Nothobranchius furzeri: one gene and its partner. The protein of the gene in region 1 binds, or shares a complex with, the protein of each later gene. Links are inferred from orthologs where the notes say so. Each region holds a gene or a part of one and is shown on either strand. Other genes may lie near its edges.

Region 1 (3,922 bases):
CACACATCAACTCATCAATATACACGATGAGCTTTGTAAATAGTGTACTATACCTTTTGTTTCTTCTCATAGAGGGTTTTGGCTTTATTTGTTTGTTCAACATGCCTTATTTTGTATAGTTAAGTCTCGAATGGCTAACTGAAAATGTTCTCAACAATGAGTGTTAGTTGGAAACCACCTTGTTAACTGTTTTCTGTTGGCTTAAAGAGCTGCGATGCATAAACCTCATCCATCCACTCACCTTTAGTTCTACACACACAGAGCAGGAAGTGTTGACTTTCTTTTTTTTTTAAATCTTTTTGCTGGTGGTAGGCTTTTGTTTTCACTAAAATGGAGAGTGAATTTGTTCAGATTTAGGTGATTTTTGATGGTGCAGGCTCAAAAAGAGCTGGAGTCTGTGCAGTGGAGCTGAGCTGATCGGGGCAAATTGGTGTCTAATTAGGATCCTAGTTAAAAAGGCAGTTGGGGTAAATAAGTTTCCTTTTTGTTTAACACTCCAGAAGATTTGGTAAGAGATGCATATATTGTCCTATAAGGACAAGCTTTATATATTAATCACATGAATTTTGACAGATTAATTGGGTGGTGAACATCTTCAATAGCACTGAATAGGAGTTAACCAGTCCATTGTGTAAGCCTGAACTATGTTTGTCAAATTACATTTTAAAAAAAGGGTTTTTTGGTCACGTATTAGGTTTTTGTGACATTTATAGCCACACAATTGGCTGTTTCTACCACCTATTAACCTTCTAATAAATGCCCATGGAGGTCAAACTCATCCCAGCAAGACTTTGGTACGCCGCGACACTTTGAGATTATAAACAAATCTTGGACAAGCTTTTAACTATGCAATAAAGTCTAATTTGCCTACAAACCCCTGTTTTTAAGCTGAATATGTGAGCTTAATCATTGCTCAGTCTGCTTTTCTATTTTACTGCACTACAAAGGCTTTTATTATCACGTTCACTAGTTTCTGGTTCAAACACAACTCACTGATTGGTGCACGGGTGGATATGAATTTGCAGAATGGTTTGATGATAATTTTACTCCGGTCAGCTCAGCTCCTCTCTAACAAGTCTGTAATTGTTGTTGGATATAACAGCATACTTTATATTTGATGAAACTGTTTCAGAGAAGAACAACAGAGCTGTGTAAATAGTTTGACTCATGTTTGAAGAACAAAATAAATACTAAATAAACCACATTTATCTGTCAGAACTGTTTATTTAAAGATTTAATTCTTGCGAAATATTTGCATATCAAAATGTATGAAAAAAAATGTTAGAGGAAAAAGTCAGATTTTTTGTCTTGTTTATTTTATTTTTTGAATGTCATTTAGTTTATTAAAACGTATCACATTCACATTAGGTGTTCCTAACATCCGTAAAACAACTAAATTGAGCGTTTTCTTAAGCGAATATAGTCTAAACATGATTCATTCTCCTTTAGGAAGTCCACTAATTATGTAACCTGCTCTAGCAACGTTCTAAAACGGAAGTCTCGCGATACTTTAGGACACATGGCCGCCTACGGTGTTTACAACTTCTCGCAATGAGCTGCTGAACTGACAACTAAGTTATCTACCTCTGAGACCTCGTCTAGTTTTGTAGAATTTGTTTTCGTCTAAAATTAAAAACCGCTGAGTGGAAAACAGCGAAGCATCAACGCTCAGGCGAAGCACAACGCAGGTAGGTAGCAACAACCCGTTAGCTCGGTCAATGCTAACCTGAGCAAACACAGTGTAGCGGTCTCTGTTAGTGGTCCAAAACGTGACTCAAAGGTGTTTTTACTTTATTTACATGAATGTTGTGGACTTGAAGTTAAATAGACGACGGCTGTTGTAACAAGTTGTCGGGTTTGCTAAAAATGAACACGAAGGCTCGTTAAAGTAGCTACAGGTGTTGGAACATCCGTGTTTATGCCTCTTTAATTTTATAATTATTATAATTAAGGTGCACTAATGATGAAACTTTGTATAAAAGTTAAAACTTAAAATTTAAGTAGTTGTAGTCGTCACAAACTTCACATACGTTCAACCCGACCTTTCCATGCATTTTGCTATAGTAACAGATTACGTTTCTAAAATGTTAGCTGGTCTTTTAAAGTTAAAATAATTGTATAAAAAATAGCCTTTCTCACGCTCTTATTTTGAAATGGTCAGTTTTCTAGAATCTGGTCTGGAATCACAATCCTGTTACCTGTTTATCTCAGGTGGGTGATGTCATCAAACCCCGACAGACTCAATCGTCCACACTGCAGGAAGAAGCACTATCCTAGTAGCACCTACCTCACCCACGTCTGACAGCACTCTCCCAGCAGGACAAAAAGACACCAGACAGAGGAGGACAGAGACACAGCCATGTCTGACTCAGCCGGAGGTGGGGAGGGTGGAGGCCTGGCGGGTGCAGACTCTGAAGCAGACAGCGAGCCCCCTCCACAGGCCTCACTGAGACGTTGTGAGTCTGTAGAAGTCGGAGAGACTTCAGAGGAGGGGTTCCCACCTTCTGCCAAACGGTCCAGGAGGAGTGAGGAGGAGCTGGGACAAGATGCGGTCCCATCACAAGGTGGTGTGTTAGAAAACCCTGCTGCATCTGCACAAAGTAAAGTCCTGTTCATATGAAGTTATACACATTAGAGTTGAAACTTACATATATCATTTATATAGTTTCTTCTGTTCTGTTTAAAGCAACAATAGAACAAAGGTGTGAGGAGGAAGAGGGGGCTGAGGAAGACGTGGCAGCAGGTCATCTGAATGGAGCCAAAGCTCCTGATGATGCAGAGGAAACTGAGACAAAACCAGAAGAGGAGGAGGCGCTCAACGAGAATGAATCTGTAGGCAGCCCTGCTGCAGGACAGCAGTGAGTTCAAATAATGTTTTATTTTTCTGTTTTCTTAAAGCGAGGGTAACGATACAGCAGACTAGGGCTGAAACGATTCCTCGAGTACCTCGAATAATTGGAGTACAAAAATCCTCGAGTCAAATTCTCTGCCTCGAGGCTTCGTTTCATTCATGTTTAATTAATTCATGGCTTTGCAATCGCCCGGGGTCATGTTTCACCCAGACCGAAATAAGTGACGCACATACATACTGCACTGAATGCACACGCGAGTAGCGGACGCTACTGAACTTTCTTTTAAGCCATGGCGAACAACGTGGACCCCGGTGGAGTGCGAAAAAGACAGAAAATGTCAAAGGTGTGGGACCATTTTTCACGTCGTAAGGCGGAAAACGTACTCTAGTTTAAAAACTGTAAAATGGATTTAGCCTACCACAACACCACATCCTCGATGCTGCAGCACCTGACCAGGAAACATCCACATGTAAATGTCACTTCTGCAAGCGGACTCGGAGCCTCTACAAGATAATGCATTTTAGCCTGTATTTCTATATATTCTGCAGACACTGTGACTTTTTCGTTTGTAGCACTCAGTTTCAGCTCACACCGTGCGTCTGGTAGCAACACGTCGGTCTTAAAATGTGCTAAAAATAGCAGTTTTTACAACACGTCGGACTTTTTATTGTGTTGTTATTGATGTCCGTTGTCCCTCAGGATTGCTGCAGGAGGACACGGGTATTTATGAGTGGCGGAGGAAAACGAAAGAAAGTAAATAAATGTTTTGTGAACAGTATAATTTGACATAACAACGGCAAACATGCTTTCGACAATCCTTGTTATTGTGTGAGACAAAAAAGTGTAGAAATTAAAACGGACGGGTGTTAATAGGGAAACAGCTGGCGAGCCATGTTTGCGCATGCGCCGTGAGCGGTTCTGGTTCTGTTTGGGCCGCAGCCGCTCTCATTTGTTTACAGTTGAAGTGCTGAAGTTTTGAAAACTAAATTTGAATAAAACTTGAAGAATAACTGGCAATTGCGGGCTCATTTTAAGAGGTCTTTCATATTTTATAACATGCTGTTTGATAT
Region 2 (3,922 bases), on another chromosome or scaffold:
ACTAGAAATCGGTAACAATAACAATGCTCCAACCTCTGAATCCACGTCCTCCACCTCCTCTTCCCCTGAAACCTCCTCCACCACCACCACCACGTCCACCTCCAAACCCCCCACCACGCCCACCTCCAAATCCTCCACCCCTGCCACCCCGGAAACCACCTGAAATTAACAACAACAAAAAAAATCACACCACTTTTACAAGCTGTTCAAATAACCGGAAATTGGTTTAGTAGAAACAAAAACCATCCTAAAAAACTTTAAAGCAAAAGACCAAAAAGGACTAAACATCTGAAATGACTCACCTCCACGACCGCCTCTTCCTCCACCTCTGCCGCCTCCCCTTCCTCCTCTTGGCGGGCCTTTCTCTCCTGGGGGCCGAGGCAGGAATCTTTGCAATGGGAGTAGCTTCATCGGGTCTATGTAAAACTGAAAACCCAATTTTAACAAATATCACAACCTGCAGAAGTATCCGAGTTCAGTATCTGAAAACGTTCTTGTTCTCATCAGTTACCTTCTGCATTTTCTTGAACGACGATGCCTTCAAATTTTCAGACAATTTTACAGAAAAATACTGCGCACACATTAGTTAGGGAATTTAATTATCAGGAAGCTTAAAAAAAACCAATAGTGTTTTAATCATTTTACACAGATGACTCAAAAAAACACACAAGAAAGGATACAAAGTCCCTGAGCTGGCCGAATATCTCATCCACTTTTCCAATCTGCTCTTTGTTTTCCAAGTACACCGGGGCATTGAAATAGGGAACTTTGCTTTCTTCTGTTGTACACTTGCATACAATATCATCCTCACAGGGATGCATGAATTCTCCAACAGCTGTGGAGTAGAAACACAACGATGAGTTTCAGAAAACAAAAAAACATACCTTTAAAATTCAAACTGCAGTCTAATCCAGTCATTTTCTGACTGGTCTGTTGAGCCGTGGATACAGGCTTTATAAGAAAACAGGCTACGTTCACACTGAAGAGTGTTGGTGTCACATTTGAGGCACAATTTCAACAACCACACAAACAAAAATGGAATGGAGCGTTAAGACATGCAGTGTGAATGTTGCTTCAATCTGCCAAATAGGAACAACAGTCTACTTACCGACGACGTACTCTGGAGGACCGTAGTCCTGCTGCCTGTTAAAACCACCTCTTCCACCTCCTCGTCCGAATCCTCCACCACCTCTGAATCCACCACCTCGGTTAAAACCTCCCCCTCTCCCACCACCTCGCCCACCTCCCCGCCCGCCTCCTCCTCTGAAAGACATTCTTCTCAAGTCTGTAAATGAAGGTGTCAGGAAAACACACACACGGTGGGTCATTTTACAGCCTTTCATCACCAAGGTAAAACAGAACCGTGGAACGATTACGCTGAAGACGGTCAGCTTTGTCTATCCTTGGTGTCGTGTCATTTTTAAACTTTCTTTCACATTTCTTCAGCTAAATTCAAATTCTTTATTAAATAAATTCTAGTCGCTGGGATTTTTGGTGATCACATAAAATCCTCAGCTTAAAGAGCAAGTCACCCCCAAATCAACTTTTTTTTTTTAGAAACTATATAAATGCATATCTAATCGGTCTGCAGACACGTGTAGTCAATAGTTTTGCACTTTTGTGGATTTTAGTTAAAATTTTAATTTTCTGCCTAAAACTGTCAGTGTTGTGCCGTTGTCAGGTAAAAACTCTGCACTGCATTTGAACTTAAATCTGCCAAATCTCTATTGGCTAAGAGGTACCCTAGAACATTAGATTAATTATGCCAATGCTGGATCTAGAGGGGTTGAAGACCAACAGAACACTAAGGAAGAGAGGAAATCATCTGTCTGTCCCCAAAACAATTTTTATCTGAATCTGGTGCCCTTGGAGCCTGTGAGGCTGAAGTGAATACTCCCCTCACAGAAGAAATGTGGAATGCTGCCGGCCCGTCGCTATGGAAACATTCTCCCTATCCCAGCCTGGGCGGGACTGTGACCGGTGAAGGTTGTGGAACCGTATCTAGGAGTCAAATGTGCCCTCTAACCCATTATCTCCCTCTCCTGTCCAAGCGGAGGTGATGAATGCTGCTCCATGTGGCTGCACGCACTGAAGTGAGGAGAGTCCCAACCCTACCTCCCCACCTAGTGGACACTTGTGTTGTGTAATGTCTAAAGTCTGTGCATATCTGTCTGAGGTGGTTTTTTTTTTTTGCATTGCAAAGCTGCCCTCTGTGTTGAGGGTAACTGAAGTGCCTTTTTTCCCTCCCCCTGACTCTATCCTCATATTAACCCTCTTGATCTATTACGATAGCGCGACTCGGGTTGCAAATGACCACAGTCACCAATTCTTGTCATGTGTCCATGTATGCATGTCTGATCTCAGAATTGTGTGTACTGAAACTCTAATTTCCCTCTGGGATTAATAAAGTATTTTTAAATTGAATTGATTAGCTGGTACCATACGATGTCACAATGTCGTTGTGAGCCTGTGTGTGTGTGTATTTGTTAGCGGCTCCGCCCTCTCGGTCTGCTAGGCAACAGCATTTGTTGCATTTTTCAAACAGGAAGTGGGAGTTGAGTAAGAATCTGGTAGGGGGTAACTTGCTCTTTAAGACCAACGCTGTTGTTTAAAAGTCACATTGAGTGTTTAATTCAAACGTTATTTTCTTATCAAAATTAGAAATTTACTTTTGTGTTATCACTAGGGTTGTCACGGTAACCGGTATAGCGGTAAACCCCGGTAAAAAAGTTGACAATAAAAATAACCGTCCAGTTTTTAAAAAACTATATTATCTCGGTGGGTTTACCGTGGCCGCGGTTTCGGCGCGGTGACCCTTACCAGCCACCGTCGCTTCAGCTGAAGTTCCCGCGGCGCGCACACGCACTTTTTAGTTTGCAACGGCACCAAAACTTTGAAGCTGAAATAATGGCCGAAGGAGGAGACGGCAGCGCCCAGGACATCCATCAGCCGTCAAAGAAGACTAAATCGGAAGTATGGGCATATTTTGGATTTCTGAAAAATGCTGAGGGACAGTTAATAGAAGACTGCTATCCCGTTTGCAGAACGTGCAGGAAACAAGTGTCTGCAAAAGGCAGCAACACTTCGAATCGAATGGCACATCTGCGTGACCATCACCCACGTCTCTACAGCCAGTGCAAGGTAAGTTAACATTAGCATTTTAGCTTAAATGCATGACGTGAGGACTTTTGGTTGAGGGAGAATGCAACGAGTCACTATATACTGCAGCCGCAGCGTCCTCTGCCAGCATTTAAACCGTGTCACGGACACCTGTTGCTGGATGAAGCATCTTATTTGTTGATGATGAAGAGAAATATACAGTTAGTTCCTTGTCATTGATTTGTTTACTTATTCAATGCCATTTATACTTGAACATTTGGATTTGATTACATAGTGTAGTAGTTATTTTAGTAATTTGTTTAAAGTGGCTATTTATTTTAAATACATATTTTTTTAAGGTTGACTTGTACAGTGCTCAAGTCAAGTGTGGACTGGAGTTTTAGATTTTCATTTTGATAATGAAGAAAACAAGTATATGAGAAAACAAGTGGTGTTTCTTTGATTTGTTTACATATTGTTTATGTTTCGAATGTTTGGATTTGTATAATTTAAACCTGCACTGACTACTGTAACATGTTCCAGAAAAATAAGCTATTTGTTCTTTACTTCTGAAAAGTTGCACTTTTGCTAAGGCTTTGTGTTATTTTAGGTTTAATAAACATTGTTAAACCTTTACAGAACTATTTCAGTTTGTGTAGAACAGGACTATCAATGCTTTCTGAACATATGCAACACCGTTTAAAAAATACCGCGATAATACCGAAAACCGTGATAATTTTGGTCACAATAACCGTGAGGTTAAATTTTCATACCGTGACAACCCTAGTTATCACACCTTTTCTCTTTATTCCCACCTGGGCCA

Evidence for each region.
Region 2: wrap53 (region 1) and gar1 share a complex: the UniProt entries of both Homo sapiens proteins name them as parts of the telomerase holoenzyme complex. The link is inferred for Nothobranchius furzeri from reciprocal best matches to the Homo sapiens genes WRAP53 and GAR1.

What each region holds. Positions count from the first base shown.
Region 1 is NC_091742.1:83,818,187-83,822,108, reverse strand, and holds the start of wrap53 (telomerase Cajal body protein 1), read left to right. Parts: upstream 1-1,476; 5' UTR 1,477-1,688; intron 1,689-2,211; exon of another isoform or gene 2,212-2,319; 5' UTR 2,320-2,359; coding exon 2,360-2,600; intron 2,601-2,686; coding exon 2,687-2,858; intron 2,859-3,922. UniProt on the Homo sapiens protein: RNA chaperone that plays a key role in telomere maintenance and RNA localization to Cajal bodies. Specifically recognizes and binds the Cajal body box (CAB box) present in both small Cajal body RNAs (scaRNAs) and telomerase RNA template component (TERC).
Region 2 is NC_091741.1:77,351,208-77,355,129, reverse strand, and holds the start of gar1 (H/ACA ribonucleoprotein complex subunit 1), read right to left. Parts: upstream 2,492-3,922; 5' UTR 1,344-2,491; coding exon 1,109-1,343; intron 836-1,108; coding exon 681-835; intron 572-680; coding exon 512-571; intron 427-511; coding exon 303-426; intron 160-302; coding exon 34-159; intron 1-33. UniProt on the Homo sapiens protein: Required for ribosome biogenesis and telomere maintenance. Part of the H/ACA small nucleolar ribonucleoprotein (H/ACA snoRNP) complex, which catalyzes pseudouridylation of rRNA.